Linked DNA regions of Arabidopsis thaliana. The protein of the gene in region 3 interacts with the protein of the main gene of each other region in a biochemical or structural test. Each region holds a gene or a part of one and is shown on either strand. Other genes may lie near its edges. The genes, in order: HDA6, PRMT11 and HTA2.

Region 1 (11,632 bases), on a different chromosome or scaffold from region 3:
TACGAAATTGAAGTGGAGACGAACCTGAGAAAGAGATAGAACGATCAACGGAGAGGACTCTGGTGTGACCTCCGACGTAACGGAGCTTGCCGTCGGTGGAGCGAGGGAGGATTCTGCCACCGTAACTGCATAGAAACTTGAGACTGCTTCCACTGTTCTTCTCGGTATAATCAACGGCTACCATTGTTAGTTTTTTTTGAATTTTTGAAGATTTGGGAGAGAAGAGGGAAGCTTTTTATAATTGAGTGTTTGTTTTTGGTGTCTTAAACCAAGAAGAAAGGTTGCAGATGGATGGGTTTTATAGGGAAGGAGTGATGTCATGGTGGGATATTACGCGTATGGGCAAATAGAAAATTCCTTGGATCTTCTATGGGCATTTTGGACAATTCTGTTATTTCCAACAATGGAATATTCTTTTGTTTAATTGATTCCATTTTGAAGAAATCTTCTTTCTTAAAAGTCGCTCATCATTATAGACGTTTGGTCATCAAAGAAAACTAGTCATAAAATTTTAATCAAATATTGAATGCTGAATCTGATTTGTACCTTCCTCTTGGCAGTCTCTTCCATGTTAATGTTATTGTTAATTACCATCAATTTTACTGATTGCTCTGAACATGATTTTGTTTTTTTATTATTTTTTTTGCTGCAAGAACATTATTATGTTTGAAATTATAAATATGTCAAGTATGACCTTATGGCCATGTAATGTTAATGATTCGATTTTATAAATACTGTGCATTATGGGTCAAGTCAAATGTATACTTTTTCACTAGTTAGAAAATAACATACAGTATATGGTATTATTCCAGAAAATATGTATTATGACTAGGATTGGTGTAGTCACATGACTCATGAGATGGTATGTCTGAAAAATCCCATCGCAACTTTAAGATTTTCCAAATTTGATTCGACACTGTTGGCAAAATGTTTAAAGCAATAGACTCCCCCATCACAAAACCTCCAATAATTTAAGTTAAACAATTGTTTGGGTCCAATTTGTAGCCCATTAAGTGGTTAGTCATGGCCCATATCTGATTACCAACAAAATAAAGGAAATTAATTAAATTCGCGCAATAAAAAGAACAGAAAAATGGTGGGACAAATTAGGGTTACTAATTTGGGAATTTTACTGTCCAAAACGAATCAAAAAAAAAATCTAAGCTTTTTGTTCCTTTTGCGGCTTTTCGTCGTCTTCCTTGCACTATCTTCCTTCTGTAGCATCAATTCGTTTCCAAGGTTACGTAGTAGAATTTACGCGAGAGAGCGAGAGATCAAAAACCATAACCATCTTAAGTTACAATGAGCTCGTATGATCGTAGATTTGCTGATCCAAATTCGTATCGCCAACGCTCTGGGTAAGTGAAACCAATCGACCAATTTCTTCGTTTTTGTTTCCTTCGATCTGTAACACTTATCTTCTCTGTGTTACTTTAGCGCCCCAGTTGGTTCGTCTCAGCCGATGGATCCTTCCGCCGCACCATACAACCCACGGTACACTGGTGGTGGTGGAGGATATGGACCATCTCCGGTAATGGCCGGTGATAATTCCGGCTATAATCGGTACCCATCTTTCCAGCCACCTAGTGGCGGTTTCTCTGTTGGCCGCGGTGGTGGAAGAGGTGGATATGGTCAATACGGCGATAGAAACGGCGGAGGGAATTGGGGAGGAGGAGGAGGACGTGGCGGATCGAGTAAAAGAGAGCTAGATAGTGTTTCTCTTCCGAAGCAGAATTTTGGGAATCTTGTACATTTTGAGAAGAATTTCTATGTGGAGAGTCCCACTGTGCAAGCTATGACAGAGCAGGATGTTGCAATGTACAGAACCGAGAGGGATATATCCGTTGAAGGTCGTGATGTTCCTAAGCCGATGAAGATGTTCCAAGATGCTAACTTTCCAGGTATTTTGATTGGATTGGTCATAGAGTTTCCAGTTCATTTATATCTAATTTGGGTTCTTAGTTTAATGGTTCCTTTTATCTGTTAGATAACATTCTTGAAGCAATTGCTAAATTGGGATTTACTGAGCCAACACCTATACAAGCTCAGGGATGGCCGATGGCGTTGAAGGGTAGGGATTTGATTGGTATTGCTGAGACTGGCTCTGGTAAGACATTGGCTTACTTGTTACCAGCATTGGTTCACGTTAGTGCACAACCTCGATTAGGTGAGTATTACAGCACTATGTGATATTCTGATTTAAGCTGCATTCATTTTTCCGGCAACTTTTTTATTTGCATTGTTGGGGTGTAATATAGGTCAGGATGATGGCCCCATTGTGTTAATATTAGCTCCCACAAGAGAACTAGCTGTTCAGATTCAAGAGGAATCAAGGAAATTCGGGTTGAGGTCTGGTGTTAGAAGTACTTGTATCTATGGTGGTGCTCCTAAAGGACCTCAGATTCGTGATCTTAGAAGAGGTATTTTATTTTTTAATAGTGTAGTTTTCATGTCTGGTTCTTGGATGGAACATCAAAGTTTATGAATCATGATTGGCTTGTCAGGTGTTGAGATTGTAATTGCTACACCTGGTCGTTTGATTGATATGTTGGAATGTCAACACACTAATTTGAAGAGAGTGACTTACCTTGTACTGGATGAGGCTGACAGAATGTTAGACATGGGATTTGAACCCCAAATTAGAAAGATTGTATCTCAGGTATGTTTGTACTTTCTCCAAAGCTATCATGTAGTGTCTTTAAGGAAAGGGTGGTTGACCAACATTATTAGTCGATAGATTTTATCTTCCCAGTTTATTGTTCTGTTGCTAAATAAGAACCATCACGGCTTTTGTTCAGAACTTGAGATTGTTCCTTATTTTTCACAGATCCGACCTGATAGACAAACACTTCTTTGGAGTGCAACATGGCCACGAGAGGTTGAAACTCTTGCCAGGCAGTTTCTACGAGATCCATATAAGGTTTACTTGCTATTTAGTTTAACTTATTAGGATTGAGTATACTGTTGTTGAATAAAGTAGGGGATGTTTTATGTTGTGCACTGAAAACAGTTGTTATTTTGTAGGCCATTATTGGATCAACAGATCTAAAAGCTAACCAGTCTATTAACCAAGTAATCGAGATTGTACCGACGCCAGAGAAATACAACAGGTTCTTAATTTTTCTGTCATTAGATAAGAAACGATTTATATATATATTTATTTGCCTTCTTATATGATATGATACTTATGCCTTTTTTCTCGTTTGATAGGCTCCTTACACTACTTAAACAGTTAATGGATGGGAGTAAAATCCTAATTTTTGTGGAGACAAAGAGAGGGTGTGATCAAGTGACTAGACAATTGAGAATGGACGGATGGCCAGCTCTTGCCATACATGGTGACAAGACCCAATCGGAAAGAGACCGAGTCTTGGCAGAATTTAAGAGTGGACGAAGCCCGATAATGACTGCCACTGATGTAGCAGCAAGGGGACTTGGTAGGATTAACTGTGATACACAATAGGAGAGATTATACTTAGAGCATTTCGTTTTCTTGGGGTTTTAAAGATAATAAAAAAAGTCGCCTGGCTGCCGCTTTCCACAGTTTCCTCTGGTATTAGGGAAAAAAGCACATAGAAAGAAAAAAGGAGCTTCTTTGAAGAATTTGTTTCCTGCATCCATCTCCCGGGCATGGAGCTGATTGGTTTTTGAGCAGCCTGGGCGACTGACACCTGCATGCATTAATAGTGTTATAACGCCGTCCCAAACACTCCTTATCCCTGCAAGTTAAGGTGGGCACATTTACTTGGGAAAAATGTGTTGCTCTTAGTTTCTTGATCTTTCCAGATCTGCAGTTGTAGGGATAAGGGGTTCTTGTTCTCTATCCTCTCCTTAGCTAGGCTTTAAACACCAAACTCATTTACACAAAGAAATTTCTGTTCTTCTTCCTGCATTTCATCTCAGTCTATGATTTACTTCTCAACTGTGTTCCTTCTTTCTTCTTTTGTTTTGTTTTACAGATGTGAAGGACATTAAATGTGTGGTTAATTATGATTTCCCAAATACATTGGAGGATTACATCCATAGGATTGGTCGAACCGGGCGTGCAGGAGCTAAAGGAATGGCCTTTACATTCTTCACACATGACAATGCTAAGTTTGCGAGAGAGCTTGTCAAGATCCTTCAAGAAGCTGGTCAAGTTGTACCTCCTACTCTCTCCGCACTAGTCCGATCATCTGGTTCTGGTTATGGAGGTGAAACCTCATTTCTCTTCTCTCATTTGATGAGTTCAATCAATCTTGCTAAATTTTGGTACGAGGATCTGATTCAATTTTGTTGATTTGTTCAGGTTCAGGTGGTGGAAGAAACTTCAGGCCAAGAGGAGGAGGACGTGGTGGTGGGTTTGGAGATAAACGGTCAAGATCGACTTCAAACTTTGTACCTCACGGTGGAAAGAGGACTTGGTAAAGAGAATCCCATCATTTTGATTCTATGAGAAAACCTTTAATTATGATGATGATGATCAGCGTTTGGTTTCGACTAGAAGTTCTTTGTCGTAGAGAACAAACATTTACTATATAACTATTTAGCTGATTTCGCTGCTTCTTCTTCTTCTTCTTCATGATATTTCTAAACATTTTGCCTTTTTCTTAATTCTATCAACTAAATACACTTTACTACTTTACTCTCAAGTCAACCGTAACACTGTAATGAAACTTGTTTTTAAAAATCGGATGTGGATTATTAGGTTGGGAGATTCAAGTATTGCGAATAGAATTTAGACAAATGTAAGCATCTATAACATCTAGAACATGTATATCTTCTCTTTTTTCCCAACAACATCTAGTTACGAATCCTTAAGGTGAAATGTGTAAATAGATCATACTTAGCTAAAAAACCCTTTACATTTATTTGTCTAACATTGTCTACCATTAGGAAAACAAGTTAAAAATAATTCGCTATGTTTGAATCGAATTTGGAATTATATAATCGATCGTTAGTTTAACATTCAGTAATTATTAAAATTAAATTTTTAACGCAAAGATAATAATGTAAGTAATCATTAATGTGCGTGTATATATAAGCTGTGCCCACAACTCCTAGTAATGACTTTCTCAGGCATTGTTGACACAAATTTTGCTCTGAGTAAAACTTGGGAATAGAGAGAGACTCTGAGTGAGAGAGAGATTCTGAGTGAGAGACGGAGATGGAGGCAGACGAAAGCGGCATCTCTCTGCCGTCGGGACCCGACGGACGTAAGCGGCGAGTCAGTTACTTCTACGAGCCGACGATCGGAGACTACTACTACGGTCAAGGCCACCCGATGAAGCCTCACCGGATCCGTATGGCTCATAGCCTAATCATTCACTATCACCTCCACCGTCGCTTAGAAATCAGTCGCCCTAGCCTCGCTGACGCCTCCGATATCGGCCGATTCCATTCGCCGGAGTATGTTGACTTCCTCGCTTCCGTTTCGCCGGAATCTATGGGCGATCCTTCCGCTGCACGAAACCTAAGGCGATTCAATGTCGGTGAGGATTGTCCTGTCTTCGACGGACTTTTTGATTTTTGCCGTGCTTCCGCCGGAGGTTCTATTGGTGCTGCCGTCAAATTAAACAGACAGGACGCTGATATCGCTATCAATTGGGGCGGTGGGCTTCACCATGCTAAGAAAAGCGAGGCTTCTGGGTTTTGCTATGTAAACGACATCGTGCTAGGGATTCTGGAGTTGCTCAAGATGTTTAAGGTAAATGCTCCATTCCTTCTTTATGATCTCATCATAGAGAACTTCTTCATGTTCTTCTGAAATTTTTAGGGTTTAAGCTTATCTTGAGTGGTTTTTCTTAAATCTACCTGAAACCTTGAAGCCTTGTGTGATTATCGAATGAGCTTTGATCCTTTCATGTTCCTAAACTGCATATTACCTTTAGAATCTCATGTTAGGTCAAGTGCATCAGGTGTTTCTGATAAGGATGTTGATTTGTTTGAGAATGGTTTTCTACATTGCCTCTTTGTTTTCATCGTCTGGTTCTTTAAGTTTCTCTAATTAGGATTCCGTTGCTTTGTTAATGTATTCTGATAGCATCATTCAAAATGTTGATTGAGTGTGGAACGATGTTTCCATTGCTTACATCTTAATGCTTTCATCAAATTTTGTTTGCAGCGGGTTCTCTACATAGATATTGATGTCCACCATGGAGATGGAGTGGAAGAAGCGTTTTACACCACTGATAGAGTTATGACTGTTTCTTTCCACAAATTTGGGGACTTTTTCCCAGGAACTGGTCACATAAGAGATGTTGGCGCTGAAAAAGGGAAATACTATGCTCTAAATGTTCCACTAAACGATGGTATGGACGATGAAAGTTTCCGCAGCTTGTTTAGACCTCTTATCCAGAAGGTTATGGAAGTGTATCAGCCAGAGGCAGTTGTTCTTCAGTGTGGTGCTGACTCCTTAAGTGGTGATCGGTTGGGTTGCTTCAACTTATCAGTCAAGGGTCACGCTGATTGCCTTCGGTTCTTAAGATCTTACAACGTTCCTCTCATGGTGTTGGGTGGTGGAGGGTATACTATTCGAAATGTTGCCCGTTGCTGGTGTTATGAGGTCTTTTCCATCTCCTTTGCAGTTCTTCTATGTTTTTTGATAATCATATAGGTTTTTGTTCTTGAAAGTGTTTGTTTCTGTTGCCTCATCGCAGACTGCAGTTGCTGTTGGAGTAGAGCCGGACAACAAACTCCCTTACAATGAGTATTTTGAGTATTTCGGCCCAGATTATACGCTTCATGTCGACCCAAGTCCTATGGAGAATTTAAACACGCCCAAAGATATGGAGAGGATAAGGTAATATCTCCTACTTTCCATTTTTATGGTCATTGTACTTCAGTTGCCACTGAACTTCTAGCTAGTCCACTCTAATTTAGTAATTTTAACATGCTAATGATGCTCCCTCGAGATTGTAATTCTGTATGTAACATATGAGTTTATCTTTGTGCCGGTTCCAAATAGTTAACGAAAGCTTTACATGTTCAGTAGCTTACCTTCTTAGCCTTGTCAATGGGATATATTGAACTTAGAGAAAGTTACTTTTTGAAATTTCAGGAACACGTTGCTGGAACAACTTTCGGGACTAATACACGCACCTAGCGTCCAGTTTCAGCACACACCACCAGTCAATCGAGTTTTGGACGAGGTAATTTTTCAGTCATCCATTTCTCTCTTTGATGTTTTTAGTTGCGTTCTGTCCTATTGACTACCAACTTATTAAATCTGCTATCTCAAATCCTTAGCCGGAAGATGACATGGAGACAAGACCAAAACCTCGCATCTGGAGTGGAACTGCGACTTATGAATCAGACAGTGACGATGATGATAAACCTCTTCATGGTTACTCATGTCGTGGTGGCGCAACTACGGACAGGTAATTAAAAACCTTCCTCCTACTCAAATCTACCAACACTTGAATTGATCCTCATTGTCTAACTTCTTAACAGGAGATAAATAATTTAATTGATGTCTCTTAAAATCTACAGGGACTCTACCGGTGAAGATGAAATGGATGACGATAACCCAGAGCCAGACGTGAATCCTCCATCGTCTTAAACCAGCTTGATGGTTTGGTGTCTCTTTTGCCATATGATAATGTCGGCAGATTTAAGAAACAAGTTAGGGGAATGAATGATTCTTTGATGTTTTTTCAGCAACCTTTTGAGTTCTGTGAAAACGCTGCATTGATTAGAACAGTGACAACTGACTAGTATTTTGGCCCAAGTTAGAAAATCAGAATATGTGAAAAATGCAAAGAAACTTTTTAAAAAAAATATGGGCTTTTACTTCTTCTTTTTTTTTTACTTTCTCCGAAGTTGTTGTTACCAAACCGAAGAAAACCGATTGCAATAGACCCTAAAATTAAACCATTGAAGCTGTTACTAAACCGAACGGATTTAAACAAACCACTGAAGTCTCATCATCACCCAAATTCATCGAAATTTTCCCGGTAACTAAGAACAGGCATGGCCAGGGAGCTTGTGTCTCTTCAATACCTCCGACCTCCACTTCACATTTCTCGTCAATTTCTAAACCTCTCTTCTCCTCCTTTAACTCTCAATCTCCGGCCAAAACCTCCGCAAAATCCAATCTTTATCCGAACCGACTCTCACCGCAACAAAACTTCCGCCGACGATAACGGAATCCCAGCAGAGGACGTCAAAACCATCGCCAAATTCAAATCCCGTCACAATTACATCAGAGTCATCGAAGTTTCACGAAAAACCAATCACCCACTCGCTGGTTCTCGTCTCCTCCTTCTCGATAATCCCGGTAACATCCATAGCATCTCTTTCCTTCTTAAAACCTTAACCGATAGTTACTTCGACGTTTTCGCTACTCTGCCTCCGATTATACCTCCCGGACCAATTGGTATTCTCGGATTCGGAGCTGGTTCAACAGCTAGATTGATTCTTGAGCTTTATCCTCCTGAGATCGCTGTCCATGGATGGGAACTTGACCCTTCCGTGATTGACGTTGGTAGAGAGTTCTTTGGTCTCTCTAAGCTCGAAAGAGATCATAAAGATAGGATTTTTATCAACATTGGTGATGCTTTGAACGCTAGTGTTAAAACCGGGTTTTCGGGTATTTTAGTGGATTTGTTTAGTAAAGGGAGTGTGATCAAAGAGCTTCAAGATCCTCAAGTGTGGGAGGATTTGAAATCTAGGTTGAGATATAGAGGGAGGATTATGGTGAATGTTGGAGGTAAATGTGTGGAAGCTGAGGATTCAGATAGAGATGGAGCTTTGGTTATGGAGGAAACGTTGAGAGTGATGAGTCAGGTTTTTGGAGATAAGCTATTTGTTCTAACGCTTGGGAATGGGAATGATAGCTCGGTAGCTTTAACGGGTGATTTACCGGATCTTGATGCGTGGAAGAAGAGATTACCGCGTAGTGAATTGAGAAGCTATGTTGATATGTGGATACCTTATAGAGAATTCTGCTTGAGATATTAGTCTTTAGATGATATTGGTTGATAATCAGTTTTTGTGATGGATGCTGCAATGTGTTTGGAATTCAAGCTATGATGAAACCTGATTAGCTAATACACAAAACTTGTTCTGTCTCAGAGAGTGTTTGTTACAAGTGTACAAATTATTGCTTGGTCATCGTGTCTTTATTGGTGATGAATATTAAGGTTGTCTAGTTCTTTCAGAGGGATTGAGAATTTGAGATTACTCATTACTGTTATGTATGATTTGTTCTGGTATTATTAAACCTAAATTCGACAATGATCTTTGTCTCGCTCTGTTTAATCCAAATCGAAAATTGTGTCTCTCATCTTCTTTGGTGTTCTGGCAGTTCATACTCTGAAGGAGAAGATATAGACAGTGGTTAGGTTATAAGCCATTGAACCTTTATCACAAGGCAAAAGCATTACAGTCCACATTCTTTCTTTGACATCATCATTTTGCTCTCTTGATTGTTTCCAACGCATTAGGTAAAAAAAATAAGAATTGTTTGTGTTTACACTTAACAGATGATTTTTATTTATGAAGATGATTAATGATTCATTTGCATTTTTTTTAGTTCATTTATCATCTCAAACTATAGACAGCTAAGCGCAAGTTCTTGATCTGTACCTGGTAATCAATATATTACATCTGTAAGATATAGACTATATAGTCCCTAGCCCTAAATTACCATTAAACATGCTAATAAAAGTTGAATAATTGTAGAGATATTAAATCAAACGCATGCTTATTTCTTAACGTAGGCTTTTCGCCCATAGGATACAAATTACAGTAGTTGGGTATATAGTATCACTAGAGCATATAAACACCACAGGTTTATTTTCTAATTGTCTTTTTCACTTTTTAAAATTGTAGAGTAGTTAGAGAATATAGACTAAAGTGTGAAGTCATGAAAGATTGAAAGTTATAAAAAAAATCTCTATATCATTCCAATGCCTATCACTCTTATAATACTTGATAGGGCAACTATTCGGAATCTCATCATTTAACTTAGAAGTTAGAACCCATAGCTATTTCGTCTTTAAATTTCTTTTTTTTTTTAAACTGTTATCGTAAATTGAAATTACAAAAGTTAAAAAAAAAAAAAAAAAACCATGTTGAACATTAGAGAGCGCGAAACCAGTGCCACCATGTTGGAGTGTCGATAAACTGTGAAATAAATTGGATATGCCATTGATATATTTTAGCATAAATACAACATTTTCATGATCGTATTCATATAATAGTAAACGAAATTTATAATTACTGTAAGGGTTGTTGACTTTATTTGACTCAACACGTGGTTACGCAGCAATAAGCAATCCCGAGGGAGAATAAAATCTCTATCCATTTCTATTAAATTTGTTTATTTTTATTGTATGAGGAATACACTAAACTTCCGTATTAGGAGTTTTCAGTTTAAATTCTACCTCTCCTAATTTTTCCTTTGCTATATGTGTTTCATATTCATGATTGTTGTCTATTTTGTTATTCGATTCTACATATATAAAAACAAACAAGAAAACAAAAGGACATATTCACAAAACTATTCCTCCAAGTTGCATCATTGACCTCCCATATATACCTCTAACTTTACCCTTCCATAATCAGCACATGCACATTCATTAATTCAACATTATCTCTTATGTGTGTGTTGTTTCAAATGAGACCATATATATAAAATGTGGTTTCTATAGATTCTTAGAGTCACACTGACTTAATTAAATTACAAGAAGAAAAATAAAATTCGAGGGACAAACTAGGTACTAGTCTAGTTTTAGTAGATCATATGTGTGAGGAGGACCCATATTCCCTCTCTCTCTCTTTCTCTCTGCAAACCCTTTATAACACTTCATACCCCCACCTCTCTATTTGTATCATTTTATATGCAACCTCTCTATATATATTGAAGGGCTATATATATAGATCAATACCCATTCTAATCGATTACTTTAATCTTTTGATGGTAAACTTTGTTATGGTTTCTTCTGTAATATGTAGGCTTAGTGTTGAATTTACAACGTCGGACGGAACGAATAAACCATATCATAGCTCTCCAAACAACTTTCAACTTATTCGATATAGTTACTTATTATCTATCATATCAGAATGCGCAATCAATAACATTGAAAACTTTGAATAATCAGTCAATTTTTGTATCATAACGAGAGAGAAGCTCTACTTTCCAAGTACGAGACTAGTTTCCTCTTTTAGAAAAGAATAGGACCTCTATTTTCGAACCCTAATCCCGATATATATTAGTCACAAAATTAATATCTTAAGAAAAATATGAAGACATTAGTTTGGTGATAAAGCCTATAGATGCTTCACTTTAGTAAATTACTAAGTTCCCACCACTAACCACCATCATAACTTAGACCAACAAATAATGATCTTGAAAATATTCAAAAGGTTAATTTACCACAATTTTCTGATAGTAATAAGAAAATTATCTCATTTACTTTTCCATTAGGTAACTATTTATGATCTACATTTGCATTTGAATTTTGCCAGTCTAATATATCTTCAATATTGAACCATTTGAATTCTACATTAGACCAAGAATTGGTGCGAAATAAAAAGAAGAAGACATTATGAAAAATGTCTCAATCGGTTGTCACTTCCAATAATATATAATCTAACACAAGTAACTGTTGTATGATACTAACCCTAGCTAGCTATAGCTTCAAAAATC
Region 2 (11,002 bases), 850 kb from region 3:
CATAGGTTCTTTGCGTAGTCTACTTCCTTCCAGAAGGTTTCATAGCGTCCGGGAATGCTGTAATAAGGAGTGGAAGAGTGTTAGATACTTAACACTATGGGCAAAATCAAGATTGCAAAATGTGAATCACCAAAACTCTTCAATTCATGGCAAAACAAAAGGTGGTGATAGAACTCGCATATGTATAAACTTTTCAAGATTAAGGAACAGGACATGCTCTAAAGCCGTCATCAAGAAAAAGGCAATATACTGAGACCTCTTTTGTACCCGAAAATATGGACCGTAAAAGATTAAGAGTCAGGTTATTGTATAATCTAAGACTTAGTAGACTGGAATGATCGTTGCAAATGGGCTTATTAGAGATTAATAATCGAACAAACTTAAGATTGACTACTTTAATACACAATCCTGCAACTTATGAAAACAGATTAAACAAGACAAACAGCTCAACAAAAAGATAGCATCACGAGGTCATAGAAATAAGAGGATAGAATAAAGGATTCATAGTATGCCATTTTCAGTTCCATGAACAGCCAAGTTTTGTATGAGCTCAGCATTCCCTGGCTATCTTATACCTCAAAGAAGATGCTTTATTGACAAAAGTCTCTTTCTAACCAGAATCTAGATAAGGTAACTATGACCAGGGAAATGTTCATATAGAAGGAAAAGAGAGATATCGACCTAGCAAGACGGGTGTAGAGCAACTGCTTAGACAACTCTTGGCACTTCTCAACAGTGGCAGGTTCCTGGATATACTGCTTGTTCTTCTCCAACAGCTGTCTGTAGTAGGAAGTTCCATGCTTAGCCACAAACTTTGAAGCCTCACATGCCTTTGATTGAACTTGTATCAACTTCGATGCCATCTTCACAACCAAATCCTTCAAATACAAAAAGAGATTCTTTGAATCATAAAATTTAAATTAATCAAATTTTGACATTGAAAATTTTGTAAATTTCCCTACTACAGCAAACAAGAGACGTTTCAGTGAATTCACACAAATCAAGCTTAAAGACTTAAAAAGCCTAAAACCCCAAATCCTATATTCCATAACGATAGATCGAACAAACTACAGTGTGAATCAATCAAGCAAATCAAAATTACAAATCAGTCACTCCTAGAACGAACAAATCGTTATCGAAGCAAGAAGAGATCACAGATATAGATCTAAAAGTCAAACCACAAAGCATAGCATATACAAGAGAAGCAGGAGCAAAAGCCTCGACCCAATTGAGAAACATCGGTCAGAGACCAGAAACTCGCCGTACCTTCCTGCAGTTTTGATAATGCAGCACCGGTGAGCTGAGAGATGAGTCGATTCGAGATTTCGGGCCACTGGTTCAACAACAACTGCGTAATACTTCTCTTCTTTATGTTAGAACGACGGCGTAATATGCGTTTCGATTGGAACGATGTCGTTTCTTTCACACTCTTAGAACGACGTCGTATATATTCGTTTTCCTCGAGTTCTATAAAAACGACAGCGTTTTGGATATTTGGCTTTATTATTAGGCCTTGCCGGAAAAACAAAAAACTAGCTCATCGTCGTCATGTCGTCTCTGTCTCCTCCACCGATTCCAATGGAACTCCACGCCGGTAACCGGAAAAAGTTACTAGAATCAATACGCCGTCAGTTATCTAGTTCCAATCGTTCTCTCGATGGATTTGTTCTTCTACAGGTACCCTTGATTAGCTCTTATATACATAATTTCCAACACGTATCGATGATCCGATTCCGAGCTCGCTTTCATTGTGTTTAGTTTGTAATTTTCTTGATTCTGGACGATAGGGTGGCGAGGAGAAAAATCGATACTGTACTGATCACACCGAGCTCTTCAGGTATTGATTTGAAATTTTATCTCGAGGTTTCTTCTCTTTCAATCTGTTCAATGTATTGAGTGGAAATAAGATGATATTGAACTGACTTGTAGGCAAGAGAGTTATTTTGCTTACTTGTTTGGAGTCAGAGAGCCAGATTTCTATGGAGCTATTGTGAGTTTTGCTAGCTATATCTCCATTTCTTAAGAACATATGACCCGTTCACCATTTTCATTCTATATATGTTGATTGTTGCTTAACCAATGACATTGAGTCACTTTCGATATTGGAAGGACATTGGAAGTGGGAAATCTATCCTTTTTATTCCAAGGTTGCCTGATGATTATGCTGTTTGGTTGGGAGAGATTAAGCCATTGTCGCATTTTAAGGTAAATATTTGAACTTTTTTAAGTCTTGTTAATTTGTTCAGTGAGTTTATAGTGATTGCAGTTTGTGCTTCTTGTTGCAGGAAACATATATGGTTGACATGGTTTTCTATGTGGATGAGATTATTCAAGTCTTTAATGAACAATTTAAGGGATCTGGAAAGCCCCTGTTGTATCTCTTGCATGGTCTTAATACTGACAGCAGTAACTTCTCAAAACCTGCCAGCTTTGAGGTTTTGACATTTCATCCTTTCTTCTTCACTTTCTCTGGAGATTTGGTCTTATGTTTGTCTTGTCTTGATGCTGAAGATGAATTATCTTACCGCATGTCTTGTGATCTAGAATTTCAGGATTCTGATGCTCGTACTGTTTTCCTGATATTTGGAATCTCATTTGTAATTATTTCTTTTTACTGTTGTCCTGTCTTATTTCAGGGGATAGACAAGTTTGAGACTGATTTGACTACTTTACATCCTATTTTGGCGGAATGTCGAGTTATTAAATCAAGTTTGGAGCTTCAACTAATACAGTTTGCAAATGATATAAGTTCTGAAGCTCATATAGAGGTGTGAATTTGATTTCCTAACATGTTTTCTCTCGAATTGTTGTTTGTCTTTTTAAATGGTATGCTTAGACCAATGAATGAAATAAATTGATGAAACGATTTTCTTATCTGTTGGCTTGTTCACAATCTGTCGTTTTTGTATCATCTTACGACTTAGGTTTCTGACCTCAATTCTTCTTATCCACTCCATGTAGACAGTTTTTTTCTTCTCTTTTTGCAATTCTCTTACATCTTTCCAACTTTAACCATGTGTTTTTTAATCCACATTAAGGTTATGAGGAAAGTCACACCGGGCATGAAAGAATATCAGATGGAAAGTATGTTTTTGCATCACAGCTACATGTACGGTGGCTGTAGGCATTGCTCGTACACATGCATTTGTGCAACAGGGGATAATAGGTAAGTTTGGTGGATAAATCTTGTTATTGCTGAATATGCAGAAATATTCCTTTTCAGGTGTTTGTACTGAAAAACTAACAAAACGATGTTAAATTGTTTGTAGTGCTGTTCTTCATTATGGGCATGCTGCGGCTCCAAATGATAGGGTAAAGGGAACACACATTCCTCGCTTTTTTAGTTCTCTCATTATTCCCTGTTTGAAAATGTTTTAATACTTGTTGCAGACTTTTGAAGATGGAGATTTGGCATTGCTTGATATGGGTGCTGAATACCATTTTTATGGGTCTGACATAACATGCTCATTCCCCGTGAGTTCTTCTAGCATCAAATCTATTCTTAATTTTCCTCTGAATTGTCTTTGCACCGCATTGACTTGTGTTTTTAATCTTGTTTACATGAACATCATAATTTGCTGAATGTAGTTATCTAGAGAAAGTGGTCTCTAATATTTATCAATTGGTGTGCAGGTCAATGGTAAATTTACAAGTGACCAGAGTCTAATCTACAATGTAAGTGCCTTACAAGATTGGTGCAACGTGGATGTATTAGAAATGTGTGCTCTATTTTTTGTCTTCGCACAATCCAGAGTTTGGTGAGTCTCTTGAAGCTTTACATCTGAATAAGTTTCTCTGATTTTGCCTTCCTTTCAGGCTGTTCTGGATGCACATAATTCTGTAATCTCTGCGATGAAGCCAGGAGTAAACTGGGTGGATATGCACAAGTAAGTCTTACTGAGATGCTATATAGCTCTGTTCTACTATGCATGCAGATGCAGTAATTGGGATTGACAATGTAAGCGTAAACTCAGTTGCTTTGGTCCATTTTGATTTATCCTCTTGTTAGGGAGATAAATTGAAATACATCTCCATATGGTTATTCAGCTTTCTTTGTCGACTGAAGCAAATTAATGTACAGGTTAGCTGAAAAAATCATCCTTGAGTCACTGAAGAAGGGGTCCATACTCACTGGGTAATTCTCTCTGTGTTAGACATTTCAATACTCTTCTCTAAAGGTTAATTCATTCTCATGGTTTCGTTCTCTGTTCCTAGTGATGTAGATGACATGATGGTACAGCGCTTGGGTGCTGTTTTCATGCCTCATGGACTAGGTCACTTCATGGGCATCGACACTCACGATACTGGTGGCTACCCAAAGGTACATCAAATCTTTTTTCAACCCAATAGTATCATCACGTAAATAAAACCACAGTCCCTGTGTCTTACCCGTTGCTTTGATCTTTCATTCTTTTAGGGAGTGGAGAGACCAAAGAAACCTGGATTGAAGTCATTACGAACTGCAAGAGACCTACTTGAAGGAATGGTAAGGGCCGATTGTTTCAAGTAGAAATGCTTTTGGTTCTTCTCATTTATCGTCTCTGTTCATTGTCCTAATCGTATTTATGTCAGGTAATAACGGTGGAACCAGGATGCTATTTCATCAAGGCATTGCTGTTCCCAGCCATGGCAAACGCAACAACCTCTAAGTTCTTCAACCGTGAAACAATAGAGAGATTCAGAAATTTCGGAGGTGTCAGAATCGAAAGCGATTTGGTAATGTCAAATTCATATTCACTACAACGTCTACAAGTTAAAACACTCTCAAGAGTAATGTCATATACAATAATCTCATTTTGTTGTATATGTGTGATTTCTTTTTTAGGTCGTTACTGCTAATGGCTGCAAGAACATGACGAATGTTCCACGAGAGACATGGGAGATCGAAGCTGTGATGGCTGGAGGGCCTTGGCCACCGACCAAGTGATCGTAGCTACTCTTAGGCAGCTTATGGAAATTAAAAACTTGATAAGTAAAACTCAATAATACAACCTTTATTTTTGTTAATGGGAATAAGGAAAAATTGCCTGTGTTTTACTAATCTTGTACATGTAGTTTATTTTGTTTCAGTGTCTTGTTTGTGTGGTTGGATATTAAACCGATTGAATGTTCAAGTGGACAGATAAAATCTAACCGGTTTGGTGCTTGTCGACGAAAACCGAACCGGTACAGAAAATATCTTGAGCACAATTTTAGTTCTAATATAAAATTCATTAACAAGAGAGAAAAAAAAAACTTCAAATTAAAAGCTTCGTGTCTTCATAAAACCCTAATCTCGCGACTTCGTCTCTATCCCCAAAAACCCTTTCCTCTCTTCCTTCTTGTGTGAGACCGAGAAAAAAAGATGACTAAGAACAGTAACCACGACGAGAATGAGTTCATCAGCTTTGAACCAAATCAGAACACGAAGATACGCTTTGAAGATGCTGATGAAGACGAAGTTGCTGAAGGGTCTGGTGTTGCCGGCGAGGAAACTCCCCAAGATGAGTCCATGTTCGACGCCGGAGAGAGCGCCGACACCGCTGAAGTAACTGATGATACCACCAGTGCCGATTACTACTTCGATTCTTACTCTCACTTTGGTAAATTCCCTTTTTTCAAGTTCTATTTTTTTCCTTGTGCTCTTTGGTTATGAATTCTTACTAAGAGTTGAATTTGGTTCCACTTTTTTTTGCAGGAATCCATGAAGTAAGTATCGAGGACAAAGCTCAGTTTTTTTTGTTATAGTTTTTGTTCTAGAAGTTTAATGTAATTCATTGTGTTTTCTTCTGTATATATCTGATGACTGAATTGAGAATGGTATCTGACAGGAGATGTTGAAGGATGTTGTGAGAACAAAGACTTATCAGAATGTTATTTATCAGAACAAGTTTCTTATCAAGGACAAAATTGTTCTTGATGTTGGAGCTGGAACCGGAATTTTGTCTCTGTTCTGTGCCAAGGCAGGAGCTGCTCATGTCTACGCTGTATGTCTTCAATCTTTCAGTCTCTTTTTTAATAATCATAAGTAAGAAGAATCTTTTTCAATTTTGACTGATTTGATTGAGGATGTTTCTTAATAGGTTGAGTGTTCTCAAATGGCTGACATGGCAAAGGAGATTGTTAAAGCTAATGGATTTTCTGATGGTAGGTCTTTTATCCATGTTGAGTTGTATTCAAATCGATAACTTCTGTTCTGTAACATGATTTTTGTTTTATCGATGCAGTTATTACGGTATTGAAAGGGAAGATTGAGGAGATAGAGCTTCCCACTCCTAAAGTGGATGTGATTATATCGGAATGGATGGGTTACTTTTTGTTGTTTGAAAATATGTTGGACAGTGTCTTGTATGCTCGTGATAAATGGCTTGTAAGTTACAGCTCCACCTTGTTACATGAGATTCTTAGTTACCAAAACCAATTAAATGAAATCTTCTTGGTCCTGTGTTTTTATGGATAGGTTGAAGGTGGAGTTGTGCTACCAGACAAAGCCTCTCTGCATCTTACAGCCATAGAGGATTCAGAGTACAAAGAAGACAAAATCGAATGTGAGTGCATTGATTTGACACGTTTTCTCGTCTTTTTTTTTCCAACATTGATCTTGATGTCTGTTGAGATTTGCATTTTTAATTTCTTTTTTGTTGTTCTGCTACAGTTTGGAACAGTGTGTATGGTTTTGACATGTCATGTATTAAGAAAAAAGCTATGATGGAACCACTTGTTGACACAGTCGACCAAAACCAAATCGTCACCGATAGTAGGCTTCTAAAGGTATATAAGATATCATATGATGATGATTAGTAGTATCTCTTTACCTGTGTGACTAATGTTCATTTCATTATTCTTATGGGTTTGTAACAGACGATGGATATCTCAAAGATGTCCTCTGGTGATGCTTCCTTCACAGCTCCCTTTAAGCTTGTTGCACAACGCAATGACTACATCCACGCCCTTGTAGCCTACTTTGATGTATCGTTTACCATGTGCCACAAGCTGCTGGGCTTCTCAACAGGTTCAGATCTCTACAATCTTGTGCTAGCTCTGAGTATTCTATTTTTTTTTGGTGCAAAGAAATGGCATGTTATCGAATAACTTGGTTTGAAGTTTAAACATAGCACATTGTTTCATTATGATCTGAAACTTGCACTGAACAACCATATGTGTCACATGCAGGACCGAAATCCCGAGCTACACACTGGAAACAAACAGTTCTGTATCTAGAAGATGTGTTAACCATATGTGAGGGTGAGACAATCACTGGAACTATGTCCGTTTCTCCTAACAAGAAGAATCCTCGAGACATTGACATAAAGCTAAGCTATTCTTTGAATGGCCAGCATTGCAAGATCTCAAGGACCCAACACTACAAAATGCGTTAAAGTTCTCTCATAAGAAGCAGAACTTCAGAAGATACAATTCTCATATTGTGATTTAGTTTTTATATTTCTTTTTCTCCAGATTACAACTTTCCATTTGCTTCACATTGCAACATTTGCTTCATCTCAAGTTAAATTAATGATTTTGCTCTAAACCATCTCGTGTATGTTCCTTGTTGATCACAAAACTGATGTCTGTCAACACTTTTCAATATTCTCTCCAAAAGATTATAGAAACTAAAGGAAATCTACAAAAAGCAAGTGTGAAGAAAGAGTACATTAAACAAAACCAGTTTAAAACTGTTTCTATAGCTCAGACTTTCCGGATTTAGGTTTCTTTGAAGAAGACGATCCAAGTCCTTTCCACCATCTCCGGACCCGGTTTGACACTTTCTGTGCATGTCTCTTCAGAGCCTCACCTTTCTTCTTGAACTCCTTAGTGATTGTCTTCTTCAATTCTTCTGTTTTACTCTCTTTCTCTTTCAAAACTTTTCCCTAAAAACCAACAAAACCATACAAGTGTTTTAGAGAAAAGAAAGAAAGATCTCGGTTTCCTTCTTCTTCATGAAAGTTTAACCCAAAGATTTGATCATTTGAAAAAAGAAACTTTATGTACCAAGTTCTTGGGAAACTTATCATCTTCTTCCTCATCTTCATCATCGTCGCCATCATCATCTTCATTACCGATATTCCCCTTCTCTATATCTTCTCTAGAGTATACCTTCATGCCAGGTGCTCCTGGCATACCCTGAACATAGCGGTAAAGAGTAAGCTTAAGATCATTCCATGGATATGCATTCCTTGCTTAGTGGTATTGATTGACGTCATCAAAGATTACCTGCATAGATCTCAAAATCTTGTCCATTTCAGCATCTTTTGATGGTTTTGCAACAAATGGTTCTCCAGGAACCCGATCCTGGCAAAGATAAAGAAACACTTATCAAAACGTCATCTCCACAGCAACAACATAAGAACATTCACGGACACAAATCACCAAAGATCCACATTTCAGTTTCAATAAAAGGTACCTTGGGAACAGGAGGAGGTTTCTTGCTGCAAGCATCGGTCAAATCTTTGCATAGATGATTCACCAGTGAAACAAGATCAGGCTTAGACTTGTAAATATACTCTGCAACATCAGTGTCTGAGTAACCAATGACCTGCAACACACACCAACAAACAGATGAAAATCACATTTATCCAACTCTAAATACTCAAAGAAATGCAAATCCAATTGTATTAACAGCTGAAAGACCACATTAAGCTAACCTTTTGACAAGCATTCTCGATCGTCTTGCACTTGGAATTACACATCCCTTCTTCTTGTTGCTCAACCAGCTACGAACCCAAAGTCAAAACAAACAAATTGTTAACAGAGTCACCAGCATTGAGATTCAACAACAAATGTACAAGTTTCCACTTATTTCAATCTCAAAGCTACAATGTAATATTTTCGGATCAAACAAGAAGGGAGAGAGGTAGAGAAATCTCAATTACCACAAGATTATCGCCTTTCTCAACAATGTCAATCTTAAGCATCCAATCAGCTTCCTCTTTCTTCAAATTGCAGACATTTTCAGCAATCTCAATGATCTCATACTCCGAGATCTACCATTTATTTCCCACCAGCAAATTCAGTAAGCAGAAACACATCAAATCAAACTAGAAAGATCACTAAAAATACATTAAAAACTCAACCTTTTTGGGAGAGATCTGTTGTTGCTTCTCCTTCACTAGCTGGTGTAACCGAGAAGATAGTTTCTCGCAAACCTGACACTTTATATACGGAACATCCTCCTTTCTCGGCGTCGAAGAAGGTTTCTTCGCGGCATCGGAAACAGGTAATAACGCCGACGAAGCTAGCAGAGCTAATGTAAGAGCTACCAGAACTCGATTCATCACAACCATTGAAGTCAGAAGCAGAGAAGCTTTCTCTATCTCTCTTAAATATGGTAAAGTTTGGGACTTTAATAAAATTCTTTCACGGGTTCTATATAGAAGATCATGGGTTTAAAGAATTCTCTGGGTTTTGATCCTGTGCCGTGTTCATGAAGTGGAATCGATGTTACGCTTGTTAACGTGTTTCCTGCAATCTTATTGGCTGTTGGAATGCTGACACGAACTTGGGTCCACTTTCTCGACCATGTTAGATAATTACTGTTTTGTTTTTTTGTATGTGTGGTAAATTATTCGGATCACAGCACAAAATGGGCCAAGCAGTAAGGCCCATTAATTAATACGACTGGATGGCTCAAATGTAATTAATAGGATGGAGAGTGGTAAACTTGTCATTGGCAAGACGAAAAGTGGCGTCGGACAATTGGATGTTGCCGTCGACCAATTAAGAAAGAGGAGAAGTGATTTGCAGCTCCGGCGAGAAGCAGAGCTCCGGCGTTGTGTTTATATCTCAGAAAATGGCAAAAATCGTGATATTATTTGATTTCGATCGGACTTTGATCGACGGAGATAGTGACAATTGGGTTGTCACTGAAATGGGACTCACAGAGATCTTCCATCAGCTCCGTTTCACTTTACCATGGAATCGTCTTATGGTATTTCATTTATTAAAGCATCCAAAATCTCATCCTCTTCTTATGATTTACGCATATTGAAATCAAAATTTGAATTGGATTTTGAAAAGGATAGGATGATGATGGAGCTACAATCACAAGGTAGATCGATTGATGACATTAAATCTTGTTTGAAGAAAATGCCTATTGATTCTCATATTATTGAAGCTATCAAATCAGCTAAATCTTCAGGGTATGAACAATGATCAGTTCACTTAGATGGTCTCAGTTTCTTTTTTTGGTTGAGTCTTGAGTGTTGTTTGTTTGGTTCAAATTTGCAGATGTGATTTAAAGATTGTGAGTGATGCAAATCAGTTTTTCATTGAGAAGATACTAGAGCACCATGATTTGGTGGATTGCTTTTCTGAGATTTACACAAATCCAACCTCTCTTGATGATAATGGGAACTTGCGGATCTTGCCTTATCATAGTGATGCATTGCCTCCACATAGCTGCAATCTTTGCCCTTCAAATCTATGCAAGGTACTCTTATCTATCTTTTTTAACTATATAAGAAGCCCTCCATGTTTGCCTTGTAGTTAGACTTGCAATTTGTTTATGATCTTGTCCATTAGAATTTGGGATTAGTTCCGAGTCCAAAAGCTGAAATCTTCAATTCTAGCGTTGTACAAATAGAGATTGCTATATCCATTACCCTTAGATTGGATTCAGTTTTGTAGGATTTTGACTAGTGAAACTTCATTGGTTCTTTCAGGGTTTAGTAATGGATCATTTACGTGCTTCTTCTTCCAATGATCAAATTCCAAGAAGGTTTATCTACCTTGGAGATGGAGGAGGTGACTTCTGCCCGACATTGAAGCTGAGAGAGTGTGATTTTGTGATGCCGAGAACGAATTATCCGCTATGGAAGAAGATCTCAGACAATCCCTTACTGATCAAAGCAGAAGTCAAGGAATGGAGTAGTGCAGAGGAACAACAGAGAATCCTGCTGCAACTTGTCAGCACAATAACAAAAGAAGAAGATTCATAACACAATAACACTAGGCTTTGTTTAGAGTCGATAATAAGTGTTACTGATTAATGCAAAGGTGATGAAAGAACATTTGTTTGTTCCTC
Region 3 (10,258 bases):
GCTAATCCGGCATTCCATGCCAGAACAAAGCACTTTGACATTGATTTTCATTTTGTCAGGGAACGAGTGGCTCTGAAAGCTTTGGTGGTGAAACATATTCCTGGCTCTGAGCAAATTGCAGATATCTTCACGAAGTCACTTCCTTATGAAGCGTTCATACATTTGCGAGGCAAACTCGGTGTTACTCTTTCGCCCACACCAAGTTTGAGGGGGACTATCAACACCATTCAAGTGAAGCCTCGACAAAACTTTGTCGTTTCATCAAACTCAGCAAAGAAGCAAATGAAAGCCCAATGCAGGCCCAAGAAGCCCACAACTCAAGTTTGGAAGCAACGGTCTTCTGCGATAAAGACAGAAACTCCAGAAGTTTCACCAAGTTACGACAAGAACAGAGCTGGCACAACTTCACCTAATGCTTGTACGGAAAAGGCATTCAACATCAAGTTGGAGAATCGGTTTTTGACCCTTGATTCAGAGATCCCAGCTTGATGTCTGCCACCTGTCTTGTCTTCCTAGGGTTTTAGCAAGTCTCAGACATTATATATAAACAAGTTTATCATGTCTTGTAACCTTTTAAGCTTTATCAATGAAAACAGAGTATTGATTTTGCCTTCAACTAGAACCGCCATCAAAGGCGGAGGTAAAATATCATAGTAAATCACTTTGTGGTATTTTGAATAATACATTATCTAAAATTCATTCCCTTCATTTTAATACACAAAATTCTGTTTTTATAAAGTTTGACACAATCGCGAAATACCGTACCGTATTGTCCGTAACATATGTTGAAAAAACATTGTTTTTCATATTCCATTGAAAATTATATTCAGAAAATGTAAAAAAAAACAATTTTTGTATTTCGAAAATTAAAGAGACTTAAAACAAATGTAACCAGTATAGAACTGTACTTACCATTAAGATTCCATGGCGTGAGGAGAATATCCATTGAACTACAACTCCACTTTTGCTAGCGGAAATGGATGAAAGGATCACTAATATAGGACTCCATTGTTATACATCATGCAACCACGACTTTTGAAGGTTTGATTTAGTAAACTAAAAACAAGTAAAAAAGAAAGGCTCCACTTTGATGGTTGGACCTTGTGCATTGGTATTTTAAGTTCCACTGGAATTTTATTTATTTATTTATGGTTAAGTCTTCTTTTTTATCAAACTCTTTCGTACATATTGATCACACTGTTTTCCACTTGTATGAAAAAATAATGGTGAAAAAAGGGAAAATGATTATTTGAGTAAGTTAAAGTTTACCCTGACAACATGTAAACTCTTTCTTTACTCAAGGGTGAACGTTGAAAATTTCCATGTTGATCACCGTGTCATGAATTTTGGGCATACTCTTGGCAACAAGTTCTTGACTATCTAATAATTGTTTATGAAATTTCTTGATTATTCACTCCAAAAAATATATCGGCCACAGGAAGCGATTTTCGCAACCTTGCCGCACCTTAGATGGCCAAAGGCATGTATTATAATGACATGTATGAACATATCCCGAGATTTTGCCATCTATATTATGTCTTCCACACACAAAGGTGTCATTCTCATTTCTCTGTTTCTAATCTGGACTGGATGATCTCAAAGATGTCTAAAAGAATTGAATTAGAGAAGCTAGATAGTGTAAATAAAGTATGCCTGAATTTTTGAGGTCTTTGCTAATGTGTAGATATAACAACAATTCATTATACAAATTCCATTTGGAGTATGAGAAGGAGCAAAAAGCAAGCAAAAATGTGTTTGTACCTAAGACCTATTCAGCCTGCAGTGAGAAACGACAAGGAGCTAAGCAAGCGTCTTGGATGACCTAATTGGCTAATGGATGACTGGATACTCATCCCGAAGAAAATCAGTTTTTAAAAATAGGAAACTTTTACTTTCTCTAAGATATATTCCTTATTACCAGATTCAGTGGCTGTTTTCTCATTTAGGAGCAAAGCAATGTTATAGGATGTAAGAAAATTTACAATAATTCCATAAGAACACAAAAACAGAAACAAAAAAAAACAAAAAAACAAAAACGAACGGGAGTATGTCTGCAACCAGAATACAAAGCCAAACAGGATGTATAAAAAATTGAAGTACTTCATGTCAGCTGACCTTTCACAGTTGCACTTGAAGCACGCAGAAGAATCAACAGATTTTGTGTGTTTAGTGGTTGAAGAATCTGATCACACCGAGGTAGTATATAAGGCCAGTTTTTGGAAAGAAGAAGAAAAAAACTTTTCAAATCACATTCTTGTCTGCAGTTGCCACTTCATTGTGTATTTGTCCCTGGAAAACACCACATGTCAGTTCTGTTCATAAGAAACCAAAGCCATCCCAAACAACCTTCCATAAAGAGAATCCAAATTGGGTAAGTAATATAAATAAACAGGTTAAACCATTTGTTTCATAGGTAAAAAAAAAATGTAACTAATTCTCACTTTTAATGTCGCAAGGTTGGAGGTCCCATTCTTTTTTTTTTTGGAAGAAAATTTGGAGGTCCCATTCTGGATCATCTTTTACCCTAGAGTCCTAGACATGTATTCCCACGCCATTTGTTCGTTGATCATACCAGTATTGCCGGGGACAAAGGGTAAGTTCTTTAAACTTTCACAAGATTCGACTTCTAAGTGTTCCAGGGATTCGAGCACCACTCTGTCGTTGCATAAGCTCCTTAATTGTGGAAGATATTTGAGTTTTATGACAGTTAGCTTAGGTAGCAAAGACTCAGCACAAAAATCAACTGGCACTGAAGAAAAATTGAAGAGCTCCTCCAACCTCAAACATGAGACAACCTTTATCTCTTGTAGGTTTGGCAGAGTACCTGCTAAGATTTGGTCTGAGAAAAGACGTTTAAGCTGTCGGCAGCCAGAGACTTGAAGTAGTTTTAGTTTCTGAAGTCTCATCCCGAGGAAACCATTAAGTTCTCCGATGCTTTCCAGATTGACATTGTCCAAAGAAAGTTCCTCGAGATTTGGAAAGAGATCCAGTTGGGACTCACAACCACTCGCAAGGCTTAAGCTGGGAAAATAGTGAATGGACAGTGCTTTCATGGCAACAAAGCTACTTTTGCTCTTCGTTACCAAGTTCTCGAACATACCATTAAGACCCTCACAATAGTTCAAGTCTAGTGATGTCACATGTTGCAGTAGCCACCCAATAGATGCATTTGAGACATTGACATCACTGATTGCTAGGCAACCTTCACCGGTGCCAGGAGGTGAAACCGATCGAATAGGTGAAAATAGAAACTGGAACTTTGTTAGCCTTTTGGTCAAAGAATCAAATTCATAGGAAAAGGACAAGACATCGAGGAGCTTAATGGCAAGAAACTGCAAATGAGGGAGGCATGTAACCTCGTCAAGTGTTGCTTGTCCTTCTCTTTCTTCTCCCTTGATGCCCCAACTATAAGCACTCCCCGCCATGTCTAGAACCTCCAAACTTGATAACTGGAGAATAGTTCCAGCCGGAATGCTCTGGAGTTGATATGTGTTGGAAACGCAAATGTATCTTAAGCTGCTCAACGCTTCAAGACCTCTCGGAAGTTCCCTAATGGCAGATTCATGTAGATCAAGAAATTGGAGTTTAACAAGGGATTCTAGCGAAGGCAGGTTCCTCAATTTTTTACAGTTTCTTAACACAAGAGACCGCAAACTATGAAGATTTGAAAAGGAGTCTGGCAATGTTCTTATACGAACACCACTGAGATCCAAGATTCTAAGGTTTGGGAATGCTTGTAAGAACCCATTAGGAACTTCCTTAACATGGGAATTCCCTTGTAGTAGTAAAACTAATGTTTCCACACCCTCTATCACATTATTAGGTAGTCTTTCTAGCTTATTAGCCATCAAAGAAACTCTCTGGACTGAAGAAACAAACTTATCTTGTGGAAACTCTATTAGACCTCTCCCGGCCATGACAAGAGAATGAAATCCTTCACCCTGAGAAGACATGAACCATATAGCAAAGTCACGCACAACATCGTGCATTTTAACTGTATCACAACTATCACCATCTTCTAACAGGCAAGAGTCCTTCAATCTCTCAACCAAAGTAACTCCCTCATTCATCATGTCCTCGTAATGATGTTGTCCATCCAACAATCCTTCCGCGACCCAGTACATTATTAGTTCACTTACTTTGATAGAGTAGTCCTCCGGAAATAAAGCACAGAAAAGGAAGCAACTTTTCATATTGTCTTGAAGAAAGTCGTAGCTGAGTTTTAAAGTACCAAAGATCTTTTCTTCAGTATCGATAGAAGGTGCTGATCTCTTTAGCAAATTCAAGGTGTGTTTCCATACCTCGACTTGAGGTTTTCCGCGCAGGGTCCGCCCGATTGTGATGATAGCCAAAGGCAATCCACAACATTCATGGGATACATCCTTTGCAATGGGCTTAACATTATCAGAGTTTGCTACTTCTCCAACGTTGTGGCAAAACAATTCCCAAGCTTCTTTCTCTTGTAAGCATGCAACTTTGATGTTTTCATTAGTCATCATCTGTTGGCACACTTCTAGTCTTCTTGAAGTTAGAACAACCTTTGAATCCTTCGATCGTTCCAATGCTAATGGAATACCCAATTGGTCCAAATCAATGGGGTGCCAAACATCGTCAAGAATAAGGAGGAAATTTTTCAAATCTATTAGCCTCTCACAAATAGTTAAGCCTAGCTGATTCATTTGCTCCCTTGTAAATCGCTTGCCCAGTCTCTTGGCTATGTCCATCTGGACCCTTTTTAAGTCAAAATCTTTCGACACTGTCACCCAAATTACCAAAGCAAACTGTTGAGTAGCAGCATATTTCAAGAGATCATTGTTAAGCGTCCTGACAAGTGTTGTCTTCCCAACACCGCCCATACCCCAAACACCAATCTTTTGAACATTCTTCTTCTTCAAACAATCCTTTAGCTTATCCAACATCTCCAGTGCTGTTTTTTGAGGATGAAATGAAGGCCCCAAGACCCGTTCAACTATTTCTCTAGATGACTTGTTGACTGAAATCTTTTTTATGAGATCTTGGCCTTGCTCCTCCAGCCTTTTGACTTTCTCAAGAATTTCCACATCTTTGTCGCTCAGCCATATAGCACATGAAGAGCGTTTCTCCAAAATCAGCTCACCAAGAGGCACATTCTCTTCGACCTTTCTTAGCCATATCCTCAGCTTTCGCTCCAAAGATTTCTCTTGGATCCCTGATCTCTTAAGAGCTTCATTCACCTTGGTCTGCACATTCTTTAGTCTCTCCAATGCTCTATTCAACGCTCTTGCGTTCGATCTGAACATGACTCTATGGGCTCTCGAACACATGCCAAAGATTATTTCATAGCCATTCAGGAACCAATAAGTTTACATGCGAGAAAAGGCTATTACGAGATCCATGACTGCTAAGTAGATCATTTCCATGCCATGACGCATCAAACTGGCATTCAGAGATCAAGGTAGGGGGGGTCTTGGTTAAAACCTGGAGGGGTAACAGAGTCTATGGACTAATCTTCTTTAGGATAACAGAGTCTATAGCCAATGACTTTCATCAACAATCTACTAAATTTCGTTTTATTGACATTTGCGACACAAGATATCGCCGAAAACGAAATTGAAATATACCTCATACGAGAGCTCTAAACCGAATCGTCCCTGTCTCTCTCTCTCTCTCGCCTCGATTCTCTCAATCTCGTCACTTCTCCACTGTCTATGTCGAATCGCTTGGTGGCTTGACTTTTCTGTGATTATGGGTCTACTGATTCTTTTTTTCTCGAGTTTTCAACCAAAAACAAAACAAAACAAAAAGTTTAAAAACAAGTTACATGTGACTATGTGTGCAGTTTCGTGTAGCTTATCGAAGGAATTTAAATTGACTTTCAGGAACAACAAATGAATCAGTGAACAATGCTAAAGAAGTGGAGTCAAGACTGAAATAGAACAATTTCTTCATATATTCACATAAAGTGAAACAAAGGTAACCTTAACAACTAGTACAACCACACAGCTTCCATTGCTGCAGAGGAAAAGCAAATGAAAAAAAAAACAATCCTAAGCATTATCTGATATCAACCAGTTTCCAGCTTTCCCTATCTTCGTAATGAACCTAATCTTCTTCAGTAGGCTTAGATGAACCAGCCTTCTTGGGGAGAAGGAGATTGTGGATGTTAGGCATCACTCCTCCATTAGCAATTGTCACATCTCCAAGCAACTTGCTTAGCTCCTCATCATTCCTCACAGCAAGCTGAATGTGTCGTGGAACTATACGGGTCTTCTTGTTGTCTCTCGCTGCGTTCCCAGCAAGCTCAAGTACCTATAGAAAGTGAGCGCACCAAATTCAGTTCCCAAGCAGACATGTTCACATATCCAAAGACAAAACTAAGTGAACAACAACATTTTTCGAATTTGAGAACACAATTGACAGTATCAATCAGTGCCAACTATGATAACTCAAAGTAGTAAGGAACAAATTTAACCCTAATTTCGATAAGCATGATGAGCACAAAGAAACACAAATTGAGCTCAAAACTACACAAAAAAAATGGACAATTTTTCCCAAGAAAAAAACAAACTAAGGAACTAATGCATTCTAAAATATTCCAAATTTCGCATAATTTAACGAAAGGGGTAAGAAAATCTAAAATCCAGAACCCTAGATGCAAGCTATAACCATTTAATTCGGTAAAAAGAGTAAATTAAACAGGTGATAAATAGAAGAGACTGATTACCTCAGCGGCGAGGTATTCAAGAACGGCGGCGAGATAGACCGGAGCTCCGGCACCAACACGCTCGGCGTACTTACCGGCTTTCAAAAATCGAGCGATACGACCAACAGGGAATTGAAGCCCAGCCTTGCTACTACGAGAAGTAGACTTCTTCGCTGCACCAGATCCAAGTTGTTTTCCCCGACCCGCCATTTCTCTCTACTACCCAAGATAGAAAAAAGATCTCTTAGAGGAGGATGAAGCGTAACTGAGAAATTTCTCTCTGTCAAAAATAACAATAATGAGTATCAGCGAAACCCGCCATGATGATTAATATAGTGGCGAGATAGAAAATATTTCTGACCAATGATATGACACTGCATGGATCGATAATCTACACCGTCAGATTGTTACAAGTTTAAGGGACGTGATTTGAGATTCGTGCGCCCACCTGCTTTGTCCTTTTTTTGGTTCTCCGATGATTTCAATGGATTGTTATATGGGCTATATTGGGCTTGTTAAATAGAAATACTCCTTTTTATTTTAACGTTATCTGGCCCAAAATTTAACACTGTTCGGCCCAAATAAATTGTTTCTTCACTTCTTGTACATATGTATTTTCCTTTTTATCAAAATTTCAAAGAAGTTAGGGAGAAGTTATAACTTACTAAGTGTTGTAATGATTATTGTTTGCTTTTTAGACGTATTCTTTATGTGGGTTTAAATTTGGATAATAACAGTTGCAAGTTGTATGACATATTGTGGTGGCTGAAAAGCCACAAATCTTCTCAGTTAGTAAGAACTCAAAAGTTGTAATATTAATTTAGACAACGTTACTTTCGTTGTTATCCATCTCCGGAGAAAACGTTACAATTTGTCAAAAAAGTATTAATGTCAAGCTAATTTCTCCGAAGATGGATAACAAAGAAAGTAAACCCAATGAGAGACATTTGAAAAAATGAGTGACGTGAACGTGGTGGGATGGTTATGATGTTAACAAAAGATCGGTGGATGTACAATACTTGAATTGTTCTTTAGTGTGTAGGATGTTGAAATGTCTTTAATGCTTGAAAATCACAACATAGTCATTATTCGTTTCATGACCTAAAAAAATCATTATTCGTGTTAGAAAGAAAAGGAAAAAGTAATTGGAAATTTATGAAAACAGACAGCTTTTTAGGTTACTGTAGAAATGAGAATTTTTAATACAAAATACTTGTTGGTATTGACAAGTCATACTTCCAATCTTTTTTTTTGTTTCTCGACTCGAATGCTTGTTCGAAGGACAAACACATATTGTGGAGGTATCGTTGTCCGACAGTATATGAAGATTTAAATACAATCCAAACTGCAAAAGCAAAACATATTGGAAGCATTAGATTTGGGAAATGTGAGATTGTACATACTTGTATTTTTAGTCTGAAGACAACCAAATCTACTGTGGCCTCGTGAATCAAATAGTACCATAGATAGCTAAGTTACCTAAGTACAATAACTATTGTCTTGACGTATCGAACAACATGAAAGAAAAATTCATAAGAAGTAAATACGAACACCATTCAAATTTTCTTTATATCCATTTCACACTATTTGTTCCATCCATTTTACGTTAAACCACATTGATTCCGACCTTATTCCACTTGGTTTGTTGTACTTTGCGTTGTGCTGTCCATATTCAAGACCTTTCATATTACCATCAACCCATGTATCCAATACATATGAATTTAACAATGATGAAGAAAACTAACATTATTTTGAGTCTAAAAACACTTTTGGGAGTATTTTCTTGTTTTCATTTAAATTTTCAAATTTTGTGTATCTTCTTATCTTCAGAGCTCTGACGACTCAATAATTATTTTTCCCATTCTCTTCACTATCTCTCTCCCTAGAAAATTGCCAGAAGAAGAAGGTTCTCCAATTCAAAAAAATAGAAACTCGCTACCATTCATTTCAAAAAATTTCTTGTTAAGTTACGTTTTTTTCTTTTTTTTTGCTTCTTTCGTTCTTATTGTCTTAGAAGACAAAAGAGACTAGAGAGGATAGAAAAATGGAAGCTTCAAGCACAAGAAGCGAGAAGAAGAAGAAGAAGAAGACGATACAGAGAGAAAACACCGATACTCAAAAGAAAAAAAAGCTACCCAGTGTTTGGTTTTCACTTAAGAAATCTCTCCCCTGCAAATCTGATGTCTCCGATGTCCACATTCCGAGATCCAAAAAAGAGCTAGCTCCCATATCCACTAAGAGAACAACAACCTCCTCCGGCGGCGGGGTCGGCGGCAGGTCCGGTTGTTCAAGATCCATAGCCAATCTTAAAGACGTAATCCATGGAAACCAACGGCATTTAGAGAAGCCGCTTTGCTCTAGCCCTCGTTCTATAGGAAGCAGCGAGTTTCTCAATCCCATTACTCACGATGTAATCTTTAGCAACTCCACCTGCGAGCTCAAGATCACCGCCGCCGGAGCAACAGAATTCGTCGGGAATCTTAGACCAGGGACGCCGGTCAATTACTCTTCTTCACGCCGTAGCCAAACTTCGAGAAAGGCTTCTTCTTTAGATAGAGAAGGATTAGGGTTTCACCAGAGCAGAAGAGAGAATGATAGAGAAGCCGCCATTAACGGAGACAATTCCTCTGTTTCTTGCCATAAATGCGGCGAGAAATTTAGCAAACTCGAAGCTGCAGAAGCTCATCATCTAACCAAACACGCCGGTAAATTTCCCAAACTTCGTCTTTGAATTTTAAAGTTCCTTACTTTATAGCAAAGTTCATAACTTTCATCTTCGAATTTCAAAGTTTCTTACTTTTTAGCAAAGTTGTTCCCAAAGTTTGTAAATTTCAATTTCGAATTTCACAATTAGGTTACAGAGTTTCTTAATGGTAACCCAAATTTTCAGTGACTGAGCTAATGGAAGGAGACTCGTCGAGGAGAATAGTGGAGATAATCTGCAGAACAAGCTGGTTAAAGACAGAGAATCAAGGAGGGAGAATCGATCGGATTTTGAAAGTACACAACATGCAAAAAACCTTAGCGAGATTCGAAGAATACAGAGATACAGTGAAGATCAGAGCAAGCAAGTTACAAAAGAAACATCCGAGATGTATCGCCGACGGAAACGAGCTTCTCAGGTTTCACGGCACCACTGTGGCTTGCGCTTTGGGGATAAACGGGTCGACGAGTCTGTGTTCGTCGGAAAAGTGTTGCGTTTGTCGGATTATACGAAATGGGTTCTCGGCGAAACGGGAGATGAATAACGGAATTGGGGTTTTTACTGCGTCGACGAGTGAGAGGGCGTTTGAGTCTATTGTGATTGGAGATGGTGGTGGTGGTGATCGGAAGGCGTTGATTGTGTGTCGAGTGATTGCCGGGAGGGTTCATCGGCCGGTGGAGAATGTAGAGGAGATGGGTGGGTTGTTGAGTGGGTTTGATTCATTGGCTGGTAAAGTTGGGTTGTACACAAATGTTGAGGAGCTCTATTTGCTCAATTCTCGAGCTTTGCTTCCTTGTTTTGTGCTAATCTGCAAACCTTAAATCAAACTTTTGAGGTTGATAAGTTGTGTCAATTAGAGAGTTTCGAAAACG

Evidence for each region.
Region 1: of the proteins of HTA2 (region 3) and HDA6, one has a biochemical effect on the other in vitro, tested with the Arabidopsis thaliana proteins (one study listed by BioGRID).
Region 2: of the proteins of HTA2 (region 3) and PRMT11, one has a biochemical effect on the other in vitro, tested with the Arabidopsis thaliana proteins (one study listed by BioGRID).

What each region holds. Positions count from the first base shown.
Region 1 is NC_003076.8:25,311,742-25,323,373, reverse strand, and holds HDA6 (histone deacetylase 6), read left to right. Parts: upstream 1-5,026; 5' UTR 5,027-5,146; coding exon 5,147-5,686; intron 5,687-6,103; coding exon 6,104-6,544; intron 6,545-6,638; coding exon 6,639-6,781; intron 6,782-7,039; coding exon 7,040-7,130; intron 7,131-7,227; coding exon 7,228-7,358; intron 7,359-7,470; coding exon 7,471-7,540; 3' UTR 7,541-7,868; downstream 7,869-11,632. Other genes in the region: AT5G63130 (Octicosapeptide/Phox/Bem1p family protein), read right to left, coding at 25-184; AT5G63120 (P-loop containing nucleoside triphosphate hydrolases superfamily protein), read left to right, coding at 1,303-1,358, 1,438-1,901, 1,988-2,167, 2,259-2,420, 2,505-2,659, 2,828-2,920, 3,025-3,110, 3,211-3,437 and 2 more; AT5G63100 (S-adenosyl-L-methionine-dependent methyltransferases superfamily protein), read left to right, coding at 7,951-8,940. UniProt on the Arabidopsis thaliana protein: Responsible for the deacetylation of lysine residues on the N-terminal part of the core histones (H2A, H2B, H3 and H4). Might remove acetyl residues only from specific targets, such as rDNA repeats or complex transgenes.
Region 2 is NC_003075.7:14,486,395-14,497,396, forward strand, and holds PRMT11 (arginine methyltransferase 11), read left to right. Parts: upstream 1-5,227; 5' UTR 5,228-5,344; coding exon 5,345-5,582; intron 5,583-5,677; coding exon 5,678-5,688; intron 5,689-5,810; coding exon 5,811-5,966; intron 5,967-6,062; coding exon 6,063-6,126; intron 6,127-6,206; coding exon 6,207-6,349; intron 6,350-6,439; coding exon 6,440-6,527; intron 6,528-6,634; coding exon 6,635-6,750; intron 6,751-6,840; coding exon 6,841-6,991; intron 6,992-7,152; coding exon 7,153-7,358; 3' UTR 7,359-7,607; downstream 7,608-11,002. Other genes in the region: AT4G29480 (Mitochondrial ATP synthase subunit G protein), read right to left, coding at 1-57, 682-863; AT4G29490 (Metallopeptidase M24 family protein), read left to right, coding at 1,549-1,677, 1,788-1,837, 1,930-1,990, 2,110-2,205, 2,286-2,435, 2,637-2,768, 3,039-3,166, 3,270-3,312 and 8 more; AT4G29520 (nucleophosmin), read right to left, coding at 7,662-7,850, 7,972-8,103, 8,194-8,271, 8,384-8,515, 8,625-8,693, 8,853-8,963, 9,054-9,263; AT4G29530 (Pyridoxal phosphate phosphatase-related protein), read left to right, coding at 9,770-9,907, 9,997-10,118, 10,207-10,408, 10,641-10,916. UniProt on the Arabidopsis thaliana protein: Methylates (mono and asymmetric dimethylation) the guanidino nitrogens of arginyl residues present in a glycine and arginine-rich domain. Type I arginine methyltransferase active on both histones and non-histone proteins.
Region 3 is NC_003075.7:13,631,434-13,641,691, forward strand, and holds HTA2 (histone H2A 2), read right to left. Parts: upstream 7,003-10,258; 5' UTR 6,893-7,002; coding exon 6,704-6,892; intron 6,289-6,703; coding exon 6,082-6,288; 3' UTR 5,803-6,081; downstream 1-5,802. Other genes in the region: AT4G27220 (NB-ARC domain-containing disease resistance protein), read right to left, coding at 2,520-5,303; AT4G27240 (zinc finger (C2H2 type) family protein), read left to right, coding at 8,727-9,387, 9,573-10,207. UniProt on the Arabidopsis thaliana protein: Core component of nucleosome. Nucleosomes wrap and compact DNA into chromatin, limiting DNA accessibility to the cellular machineries which require DNA as a template.